3 linked regions of the Tamandua tetradactyla genome follow. The protein of the gene in region 2 interacts with the protein of the main gene of each other region in a pairwise test. Links are inferred from orthologs where the notes say so. Each region holds a gene or a part of one and is shown on either strand. Other genes may lie near its edges.

The links.
Region 1: the proteins of CREB3L1 (region 2) and PLP1 interact in binary tests that used the Homo sapiens proteins (3 or more experiments, as listed by UniProt). The two-hybrid records come from large-scale screens. The link is inferred for Tamandua tetradactyla from reciprocal best matches to the Homo sapiens genes CREB3L1 and PLP1.
Region 3: the proteins of CREB3L1 (region 2) and FXYD6 interact in binary tests that used the Homo sapiens proteins (3 or more experiments, as listed by UniProt). The two-hybrid records come from large-scale screens. The link is inferred for Tamandua tetradactyla from reciprocal best matches to the Homo sapiens genes CREB3L1 and FXYD6.

Annotation. Positions count from the first base shown.
Region 1 is NC_135353.1:70,063,120-70,066,863, forward strand, and holds the start of PLP1 (myelin proteolipid protein), read left to right. Parts: upstream 1-1,281; 5' UTR 1,282-1,389; coding exon 1,390-1,450; intron 1,451-3,744.
Region 2 is NC_135334.1:122,993,393-122,997,136, reverse strand, and holds the start of CREB3L1 (cyclic AMP-responsive element-binding protein 3-like protein 1), read right to left. Parts: upstream 2,254-3,744; 5' UTR 2,167-2,253; coding exon 2,065-2,166; intron 1-2,064.
Region 3 is NC_135334.1:22,810,833-22,814,576, forward strand, and holds the start of FXYD6 (FXYD domain-containing ion transport regulator 6), read left to right. Parts: upstream 1-886; 5' UTR 887-1,112; intron 1,113-3,744. UniProt on the Homo sapiens protein: Associates with and regulates the activity of the sodium/potassium-transporting ATPase (NKA) which catalyzes the hydrolysis of ATP coupled with the exchange of Na(+) and K(+) ions across the plasma membrane.

The sequences.
Region 1 (3,744 bases), on a different chromosome or scaffold from region 2:
ATATGGTGCCACAAGGGAGGTACCCCTCAGATTGCCCCACCCTGGCCAGCACAAGTACATTTTTATGAAAAATTGGTGCCTTCTCACTCCCTGGCCCTGTTCAGCAAATAATGTGGAGATGGGAAAATACACTACACTGGGCTTTAGGGAGCCCTAACTTAGTCTCATCTGTGCCAAGAACTGGCTGTGTGTCTCTGGGTAAGTCCCTCCCCACTCTGGGTTCCCCTTTCCTTGTATGGAATAGGGGATGGGAATAACTAACTGGTGTTCTAGACCTAGCCTGTTACTCTCTAGGGGCACTTACAGCTCTCCAGCTGCATCATGCAGGTCTGAATGTCCATGGGAAAGTTCTTGAGATCCATTGGGCAGGACAAAATGAGGGTCAGCCTTATGGGGACAGAAAGAAAGAACTGACATCAGTTTACTGGGGGCCAGTACAGAACAGGGGACCGTCCTCCCACCTCTCAGCCTCTGACTGGCCTCTCCCCCTTGGCCCAAACTCTCTTGTCTGACCATCAGTTGCACCTGATGCTGTAGAGCACATTCCCGTTCTTAAAGATGCGTAGTAACTTGTTGTCTGTGGTCACCTCATGGAAGCTGGCCCCTTTCTCGTTGGCAAAGAACAGATCAGGCTTCCAGATGGATTCCAGCATGGAGGGATCAAGGTCCAGTGAGTCATCAGGATACTCTTGGTAGGTCAGGCGTGGGTCATTCCACTGTTGCCTCAAGAAAACATTCATCTGGTAGTCCTGGGAAGATGCAGAGATGGATACATCAGAGGCAATGCTATTCCCAGGGGCCTAGCAAGTCTACATGGGCAGGAGAACCATGAAGAGGAAATGTTGGGAACATGTCTCAGAGGCATGTCCAGTGGACAGTGTCCACTGGAGAAAGGGCCTGCCTTGGGCTGACATGGCAATGATAGAAAGGAAAAAGATATTTATTGAGCACTTGCTATATGCCAGGCCCTCTGCTAAGTGCGTTCTACATATGCATCATCTCATTTAACTCATACTAAACCTGTAAGGACAACTCTGCAATGATCTCCATCTTACAGATAAGAAAATTAAGACAAAGGGAGATTTAAGTAACCTGCCTAAGGTTGCACAGCTATTATATAATAGTGTAAGGATTGAACCCAGGTTTGTCTGGTTCCAAAGCCTGTGCTCCTTACCAAGCTAGCTCACACAGTTCACCCATTTGCTGCTTAGTTTTCTCTCTCTTTAGCCATGGAAACCTGGGGCTGGGGAAAGGTGTCCTCCTAGTGACCAACTTTAGGCATCCTATGTTTTTAGCCATGTCCACAAAACAGGGAAAGGATAGCAGAGAGGGGAAATGTTTGCTATCTGATAGGCTTCTCCCATTCACCCTAGAGTGCATGCCCTTACCATGGTGGTCTCGGTGACGGATCCAAAACTGTTGATGAAGATGTTGCAGGTCACGTTCACAGGTGGGCCTAAGGGCAGCAAAGCACAGCCCATTGGCAGAGCATTCCAGGAGCAGGTTTCAGGAATCCCGCACAGAGCTTCAGGGCTGGACACTGCTGGCAGAAGCAGTGTCAGCTACATGGGCCCATGGGCAATGGTGAGCGGAGGCATCTTCTAAGCTGGAAGAGCTAGCCTTGTACCTCCAGCCTCCTTTCCTTGGGGCACGGAGTAAGGGATGGTTGGATATTGTATCTCCAAAAGGATAGGGGAAGATGATCTTTTTCTGGGATGACTTTTCCTTACCTTTAAAATTGGGCCGAATCCTGGCATCATAACCAGATGTTCTCCCCATGAGCTTGTCCAGGAAATCAGAGGGGGACATGGGCTGGGGAACATCCTTTGTCCCAGATTTGACTTCCTCTTTTGCTAAGGTGATCCTGGACAGGAGAGGTAAAGAAGTCTGAGGCCAGATGCATTCTGCATCTATCATAGCTCCCTCAACCTCCAATCCCACCATCTCCCCATCAGACAGGAGGATAGGAAAGGATGGGTCTCTGGATGCCCATTTGCAAAATTAGGAGAACGAAAATGGTCAGCTAACACAGTCGCTCACCAGTTAGGCCTAGGAATGTGTTGTCATATATATTACGTCTTGTTACTCTCACAGTTCGCAGTGTGATGGGGGTGATGATTAGTATCTCCACTTACAGATGAGAAAAGTGAGGCCTTAAGAGAAAGAGTGACTTGTCCAATGTCTCGAAGCTAGTGAGTGATGGCGTCAGGACTCAAACCCAGGGCTGAGGCCTCATCTAGTGTTCTCTTTCTGAAAGTGCCATGAAAGCACTCAAAGAAGAGTGGTGACTCATTGGAAATAACATAGCTGCAGCAACATTTCATGCATCTGACCTAGCCAAGGATGGGAAGGGTTGAAGACAATCTACATCTTTAAGAGTTGGTTTCAGTTGTTTGGGCATCATGCTGGGATGTACAGGATCTAGGACCAGCTTCTAGGGAAAGAGGCTTGGTTTCTGGCATTTGTTTCAGCAGGAGGCTAGATTTTGTGCTGAATCTTAGTTCAGGGCTGTGGCAACTATGAGCAAGTGAATATGTTTTGACAATGAAATAGGTGGGGAAGCAGGGCCCAGCAGGGTGGCCATGCTGTAAAGATCAACTCCCACCATTTTGCCCCCTAACAACTTGATTTGAGGAAGGGGCTAGTGTGCTTTGGCCTAACCTAAAAGCCAGCCCCCTTCTTCCCTAACAAGCATATTCCATCTTAGAGCAGCAAAGCCCCTTCCACATGCCTACTTATCCGCTTTCCAGCCAACGCATGGACTAGGGACCATCAGCTCAGCAAAGCCTTGGGAGCAGAGGGCAGGGCTCAGTCTGGACTCCTGGCTGGGCCATGTGCCTCCAGCTCCATCCTGCCATCGTCACTGCAACAGGCACCCCAGCCAGCCCTGCTACTCCCACTGCTACTACTGCTGCTGCTACTGGTGCTCTGTGGAGCTAGGAGGCAGGGTGACTGCTGTCCTGGGTCGTAGTCATCTCTGAGTCAGTGGGCTCCTCTTTCCCAGTAAATCTATGCATTAGCCATTGATAATAAAAAAGTATATCTAAGGTACCATGCTAAATGCCTCATGTACCTTATTTTGTTTAGTTCTCCCATCAGTCCTCTCAGGTAAGTATTATTATTATCTCCATTCCATCTATATGAGTAAGCCAAGGATTAGTGAGATGAGACCTGTTCAGGATCATACAGCAGTAAGTGACAAGGCTAGGATATGAAACCAGGGCTATTTGACTTAGAAACAAAGGCTATCTACCCCAATACCATGATGCCAGCAGCCCAGGGTGAGCTAACATGGAACCAGAGTGGGGGAAGGTCAGTGACAACCACTCCCTGGACTCCTAGAGTCCTGCTTCCTTGAATTGGCTGAGCAGGAAGAAGCCCTTAACCTAGGAACAGAGGCCATCTTGCCCCCACACAGGGGAGCAGGCCCAGGCTGCCTGAGCAGGTGGCTTAAGCAGCCTCTGAAAATCCAAGGAGACTGGTAGTGGTGCTGGGGCAAGCAGAAGTCCGTGACTTTACTGCAGGATGTCCACACTGGCCAGGTGCTGTTGTTTCTGCTGCTACTGCTGACCACCTGCCATCTGCCCACTGGGAGGCCACATGGCCCTGCACGTGAAGCAGCTGGACACTCTCCTCTGACTTTATCCCCATACTCAGGTCACCTTTTCTGCTAGCCTCAGGACCCTGAGACAGGCTGTGGGTTCAGCTGTTTTGGTTCTCAACCCCTACTACAGTGCCTTTCTT
Region 2 (3,744 bases):
GGGGTGGGCTGGGTAGGAGAGTCCAGCTATAAGGGTCCTTCGACACTGAAATGGAGGCCTTAAAGAAGGCAAGTGACTTACTCAGGGTCTCTTGGCTACTCCTGGGTCTGTCCCTCACTCCCACCCCCATCCAGTCTCTGGAACCAGTTGATGACTGTGGACTCATGATGCCAGGCATCATGCTAAGTCTTTATGGCAATTGTTTTTGTCCCACTAAATCTGTACCACATGCGATGGAAAGGTTCTAATATCCCCACTTTTCAGATGAGGAAGATATGGGTGGCATTGGCCCCTAGTGGCAGAAGCACAGCTAGAACCAGCATCTCCTGAGGCCACCACTCTGTCTGTCCCGCTGCCTGCCTGGAGGCACAGGAGCCTTTCGGGCAGGGCTTTCCCTCCCCAGCACCCCAGCGCTGACACCGCTGTCTAATTGCGCCTCCTCTCCTACGCTGGACCAGGAGCAGCTGGGGACACAGGGCTGAATGGAGCAGCAGGAAGAGGCTGCAGGCTACAGAGTTCATTCAGAAAAAAGCCCAGTGCAGAGCTGCCAAGGGCTGGGGGAAGCCCTTAGGGAACTCCCCTGGCTGCCAGGTGCAAGTTCCAGCAACCCCCTCCTTCTCACCAGCACCTTTTACCATCCCCAGGGTGGGTGCTTGGACCCCTATATCCCAGCCACTTTGTTACTCAGAGCTGTAGGGAATGTGTCCAGCTTAGTACTGGAACCATCTGTGGAAAGACTTGATGGACCCTTTGCCCCATTTTACAGACAAAGAAACTGAGCCCCAGAGAGGAGGGTGAATGGTGTGGCCCAAGCTCACGGGCAGGCAGCGGCCGAGCCAGAGCTGGAAGCCCCGCCAGGTCTCTCCCCTCCTCCACTCTCACTCCAGAGGGCAGTGAGCGCTGGGTGCTGCCTAATGGAGAATGAGGAGACCTCACACCCCATGCCCCTGAGCCAGGTCCCTGGCCCTTGGCTCAGTTTCCCCACCATCGCTCTAGTGGCCTGGGACAGTTCAGGAGGAAGGCGGGGATGCCCAGGCCTGGCCTCTCTGAACTCTTTACGCCTCTACGAACTGGGCTCCTGTCTGGCCAAGTTTCTCAGTCTGAGGAGGTGGAGGCCCCGGAGGACCACACGAGGTGGGGCTCCCACTGGATTCCCCAAGCAGCCCACACTTCGTGCCCCTAGCCCCAGGGGAACCCACATATTTTCTCCGGACACTGAGCCCATGCCCCTCCCCCATCGGGGCCTCGGGGCCCAGCCTGAGAGGGAGGGAAGGAAGGAAGAAGGGAGAGAGGCCACGTTTCCTTAGAGAGGGAGGGGGCGGGAGAGAGAGGAGAGAGGAGGGCGAGCCCAGACACAGCGATGGTCAGAAGACACAGGGGGAGAAGGTCAGCAAGGGGTCGAGGGGCCGAGGGACAGGGCAGTCACCTAGAGTCGCGGAGATGGGGAGGGCGGGCTGCCCCCCGGAACGTCACCCCGAGCTGCCCTGGCCAGCCAAGTCAGGGGGGACCTCATCGGGCTTGCCCCCCGCGGCGGCACGGCTGCTGGGCGCTCGGGGCCGGCCGGGACCGGTGTCCGCGCCGCGCGCTCCCCTGTGCGCCCCCCAGCGGGGAACCGTGCGCTGGGCTGCGAGGCCCCAGAGGGGCGCAGGGAAGCGCGCTGCCGCGGCGCCCCGTCTCGTCCGGGAAGCCCGGGGAGGGTGAGGAACGCCTGGGAGAGGGGGCGGGAGGGTTGGTGTCTCCGGAACTCCGTCCCAGCATCGGGCAGCCGTGACGCCTCGACGTGCGCCTGCCCTCGAGAACGGGGCCGGCGCCTCCACGCCCGAGACCCCGGAGGGGCGCGCACCGGGGCGACCCCACAGGCTCCCGTCCGGGCGCGGGGTCTGGGGAGGCGTCGAGGGACTTGGTCCCGAATTCTCGGCGCTCCGAGCACGTGTCCCCCCGGGAGGCCCTGCTCCCAGCCCCCTCCCCAGCGCCCGCCGGGCGGTGAGCGGGCGCGTGTCCCCGAGGGGCCCAGGCGCGCGGCGGAGAGGGGCGCAGGGAGGCGGCCGCGGCCCCTGGCCTTACCGCATTGTTGAGGAAATCCGACTCGTTCAGGTCCCCCAAGTCCAGGAAGCTGGATCCGGGGAACAGCCTGTCGGCCGGGAAGGGCTCCAGGACCGCGTCCATCGCGGCCGGCTCGGGGACCCCGTCCGCGGGGCTCGCCTCACTCCAGGGCGGCGACGCGCCCAGCCCCGAGCTCCGGCCTGAGCCCTGGCGAGCGGGCGGGGGGCAGGTCCGCGGCGGGCGGGGGCGGCGCGGCCCGGGGTGGCGGGCGCGGGGCCTCAGGGCAGCGGCGCGGGGCGGGCTGGGCTCAGGCGCCCGGGGCGCACGGCGGGCATTTAGCCGACTCCTCCTGCCCCTCCCGGGCCACGGCTGGCTTCCATGGGGAGCTCAGGGCTGGGGACGCGGGCTGGAGGGGCCCCCCGGACAGGGTGGGAGCCGGGGGTGGGGGAGCTGAGCGCTCCCCCCGAGACTGGGCGGCCGCCGGACGTTCGCGCGCGCTCTGTGTCGCTCTGTGTCCCCCTCCGAGCGGCTTCTGTCACTTTCCTGGGTGAAACCGGGAACCCCCGGCTGAGTAGCCCAGCTGGCCGGGGCGCCACGCCCCCAACATCAATATTCATCATAGTTTAATATTAATGAAGGGGCGTGGTTTGGGGGCCCATGCCTCCTCTTTTAAAGAGACAGCCGCAGCCTAGTCCGCCAGCCGATCTCTCCCCTGGACGCCCAAGGTGCGGGCTCGCGGGGAAGCTTCCGGGACCTGATAGCAGTGTTCCTGGGGCCCCAGCGTTTTATTGTGGCCCTGCCAACCACTCTTCCATAGGCTGATGAGAGAGCAATTTCCATTTTTCCAGAAAGCTAAAGCCGGAAGCATACTCAAAGTCAGGGAATTCCTCTTCAAGGTCCCTGGACAGCTGTCCCAGTGGGGAGGGCTTCAGCGTCTTAACTCTCATCTTTTGTTTCTCAGCTCAGTTGTCTCCTTTTCCAGGAAGCCCTCTCTGACCCCAGGCGGGAGCAGTTACCCCGTCAGGACATCTGTCTCACCTCCACAGAGTCTGAGGTGGTTCTGTCATTGCACATGTGCCATGACCGACAAGCGTGGACTGGACAGGGAGGTCCTGCTTAGTGGGTGCTGCACCCACTTCCCCGCGGAGGAGAGGGCTGGCTGCAGAGTGCAGATGGGGGCAAAGACCCCCTTCTCATGAACCAAGGCCCCTTAATGCTTTGGAAGAGCAGGGAGTTGGCGTCTCAGGGCTGAGATGCTGACTGCACCCTCCAGGTCACCCGAACCCCTGCCCAGAGCCACTGCCAAAATGGCCCGCTCCTGTGTGCAGCTTAATCTCTTAAAAGGGCTGATAAACAATCAACAGGCACCTGAACAAATGGAGGTGGTTCTGGAAGGCTGTCCCTCCGAGGGCTGGGCACACCATTTCCTGTCCAGGAGTCATTAATGGGATTAAGTGTGTCCTCCCTGCTTAGAGCTTTTAATTAGCTCCAGAACCAAAGAGTCTTTAAGAGGTAGAGATGTCACTGCAGTTAAGCCGTGACTGTCCCCAGAAATGCGCTCGGTGCCAAGGTGGGAGAAGGGCTCACCCTGAGGCCAAGCAGTGGCTGTTCGCTAGCCTGGCGCGGCATGCAGGCACGTGGCTCCCCAGTCTCATGACCCAGGTGACACAGCTCGGAGGGCGGCGTTCCGACCCCCCAGGC
Region 3 (3,744 bases), about 100 Mb from region 2:
TTCCTTTCCATGAGCTTCTCTTCCAATAGCACAGCAGTTTACTGAGCACCCACTATGTGCACTGAGCTAAGCCACTCATGAGGCCAGTATTATGATTGTCATTTTCACATGAGGAAACTGAGGCTCGGGAGGTGAGGTCAGTGACTAGTCGAGGTGCCAACACAGGTACCAATGGAGTTGCAGAGCTGGGATTTAAATATTTGTCATCCTCAATCTTCAGTTCCAGGCTGGGGAGGAGTGTAACCTCCATCTCCAGTGCTGTGGCCTGGCAGGGCCAGGGTGGGGGGCTTGAAGAGGAGGTCCTGGGCGGCAGGTCTGTGGTCAGGGCGAGGTCCCTGCTCCCCAGCAAGCACCCTATCTGGCTCTCGCTGAAAATGACAACTACAACCAGAGCTGGCTCTGGCGCCTACGACACAGCCATTCATGCTTTTAGTTCATTTTCCCCTTAATTGCCAAGGCTCACAATTAACGTGGGTTGCTGTGTCTGCTGCTGGGTTATTTCCTTTTATTTTTCTATTCCCCTCAGTTTACTACTTCAGAGAGACACTAGCTCTGTCACTGCATCTGTCTCACTGCTCCCTGCCCACCCTCACCAGGGGAAAACCAAAAAACAACGGCTTATAGCAAATCAGCGCTGGCACTCGCGTGCCCTCTTGGAAGCAGCCTCCTGTTGCGTCTCTGAGCTTGACCGTCCTTTGAGAAGCTCACTCCTTTGCACCAGAGGAGGGGAAGTTACCGAGCCTGGAAGCTGGAGAGGAGCGGAGAGGGAGGGAAAGGGTGGAAAGAGGAGGAGAGAGGAGGGGAGAAATAGGGAGGGGAGCGGAGGGGACGGGAGGGGGTCTGCACGCTGTTGCTACCCAGAAGCCATCAGACAGCTGACACCCAGGCATCTGGCCCCAGCCCCGTGGCGTGGAGGGAGAGGGAGCGTCCGCCGGCCACTCCCCTCTCCAGCTGGACGCGCCTCTCCTGCCCGCCCCAACTCTTAGGAGGAGGGGAGGCGGGAAAAAAGCAAAAGCCTCTCCCACCGCCCTGCTGCCAGCCCGCCACTCCCAGCCTCCTCCGGACTCGGCAGGTCCTCCCGGGAGTGCCTTGGTGGGGGCCGTTCTGTGCAGGTAAGGTGCTGGGGAGATGGGCAAAGTTGAGTTCTTTGAAGGAAGGAGGCTCAGGCGTCAGCGGATCCTCGGGATCGGGGGAACAGCGGGTTTTGTTTGTTCCTGTGGCGTGTGCGGTGCTCCTGGGCGGATGGCCCCTCGTTCTCCCGGGCAGCCTGAAAGGGGTCTGGGGGTGCAAGCAAGGGATGGGTATGGGAGAGCAGGGGCCCCCGTGGGGCCGCGGGGGTGGAGCTGGTGGCAGGGAAAAGCTCTTGTGGTTACCTGGGGCTTGGGGCAATGGTTTTTAGAAAGGGAAAGGGCTGCTCCCACCCAGGTTTTTATCCTGAGGGAGTTTTCCTTTGTTATTTTGAAGCCTAGAGACTTGGCGTGGGGCGTGTGAGGATCTGAGAATAAGGGAGTGTGACTGACTGTTCACACTCACGTGAGCAATACAGAATGGAATTTGGTGGCTTGGTGCTGGGGGTGGGGCGCTGGGCAGCAGGGAGGTGAGTGGGCTTCCAGGGCCTAAGGATGGAGGAGAATGTCTGCCTCGATTTTCCTTTCCTTCTCCTCTCTCCAAGCGTGTTTTCCTTCCAGGGGCCTGGCCCACCATCCCCTCCTCTCCCTCACTTTGCCCCCCTCGGGCTTGCCCTGCCGCTGCCGCCCCCGCCCCGTGTTTCTGGGCCCCCGCCCCGTGTTTCTGGGCTTCCATGGAGAGTTGGGTGAGCAGCCTGTCTTGGGAGCTTTCTTCCGGCTCTTACAAGTGGTGGCTGGTGGACAAAGCCCCCGAGGGTGGACGTGAGGGGCAGCCCCCGCCCTGAGAAACGGGTCAACCCAGTTTCTGTGGGGGTGGGGTGCGGTGGGAATGGGGGGCTGTAGCAGCTGGATGCCCTCCCCCTCACACACAGTGTGGCCTCTGAGTCCACTTCCTTTGTCTCCTTGGCTTCGTGCTCTCGGGCTGGGCCTGGATTTCCAGGCTTGCAGCTGGGTCCGTGGGCAGCCCCTGCCTGCTGTGAAAGGGCCCCCACTCCGGTGGGCCAGCCGCCCTCACATTGTGGCTGTGGCTGCGACTGTGGCTGTGGTTGTGCTTCCGCAACTTAGCCTTTTGCACGTGACCCGCCTGGTAGTTGCCATGGAAACTGCGCCCCATTTCTCAGCCTCCCTCCTTTTCCTGCCCATTCCTCACCTCTGTCTCTCTCCCCTCCCCCCAATATGGTTGCCTAGATACTGGTTTTCCCTGGCTTCACTGGGTGGGAGACCCAGGACACCCAGCTCCCAGCCCCCTGCCACACACCCACCCACACTCACACAAACTCTAAGCATACTCTTCCACATATGCAAACATACCACACCACCCATGCACAAACACATCCTCTCACACACACACTGTGTGCCCTGCTTGTCACACGCACTCCTTAAACACCCTCACGAACACAGCGCACACACACATCACACCACACGCCCACCACACACAGACCCATCCACGCACACGCCCCCGTGGCACGCCGTTGTGCCTGCTCTCACACACACACACCTCAACAATGACACGTAACACTGCCTCCTCAACACATACTCACTCCCCACTTTCTCCGTCTGAAGGCGAGGGCTGTGGTGAGGAAGGGGGCGCCGGGGAGCCCAGTGTGGGGGTGGGTCAGAGTCGTGGAGGCTCTGGATGCCCAGGGGAAAACCCCATCCTCTCCCTGGAGCCCTGGGGAGGGAGGTAGAGGAAAAGGCACTGCCAGCTTCCCTCTGAAGAGGAGCCCCTCTGCTGGGTGCTGGCCTCCAGAGAGGCTGGGTGGACCCGAATCCCGCCTCCACTGCAGGTCCCCGAGAAAGCTGAGACTTGTGTTCTAGGAGCTTGCACCTAGCCTGAGTCTTCCTGCTCTTAGAGGGTAAGGCAGGCTGGGGGGCCATCAGGAGGCTCCCAGTCCCCAGAAAGGAGGACAGCACAGCGAGACAAAGGGAAAAAGGGAAGTGGAGAAGAGGGGAGAAGTCAGAAAGGGGGAAGAAGAGAAGGCGCGTGAGTTAAGGAAGAGGAAGCAGGGCGACCTGCCCCATCTGGGGTTCACACCAACCCTGTCTGCCCTGGCACATTTTCTTGCTTCCTGCTGGTTGAAGCAGTCTTACAGAGGGGTCCTGGGCGCCAGGGGTTTTCCAAGACTTGTGGCTTTGCTGGCAGTCAGGTGGTGGAAGCCTGAGGGAAGAATTTCCTTCCTGGCCTCCAAGGGGAAGCAGGGCTCATTGCATTCCATCTTTCAGTGAATTCTCTTGGGTACCTATTAGGTGTTAATGGCTGGAGACCGGACTGCGAGGAGACACCGTCCAGGATCTATGAACCCCAGATTTCTCAGAGCCCAAGGGGACCTTGAAGGAACATCCCATCAGGACAGTGCAAAATGGGGAAACTGAGGCTCAGAGGTCACATGGCCCCCCGTGGCTGAGGACTTCTGACTGCACACTACCTGACTGGCACCTCCTGGTGCCTTCTTTCCTTTATTATCATCAGTCCTCTGGAGACTGGGACACTCCTTCAAGAGTGCGGTCCTGTCGTGGCCAGGGAGGGTCTGGGGAGCGTCCTCCACTGTGTCTCCCTGGAGGGCGAGACTGAGGGTGTTGCAAGGTGAGGGGAGGAAGGTGCAGCTCTCAGACCCCG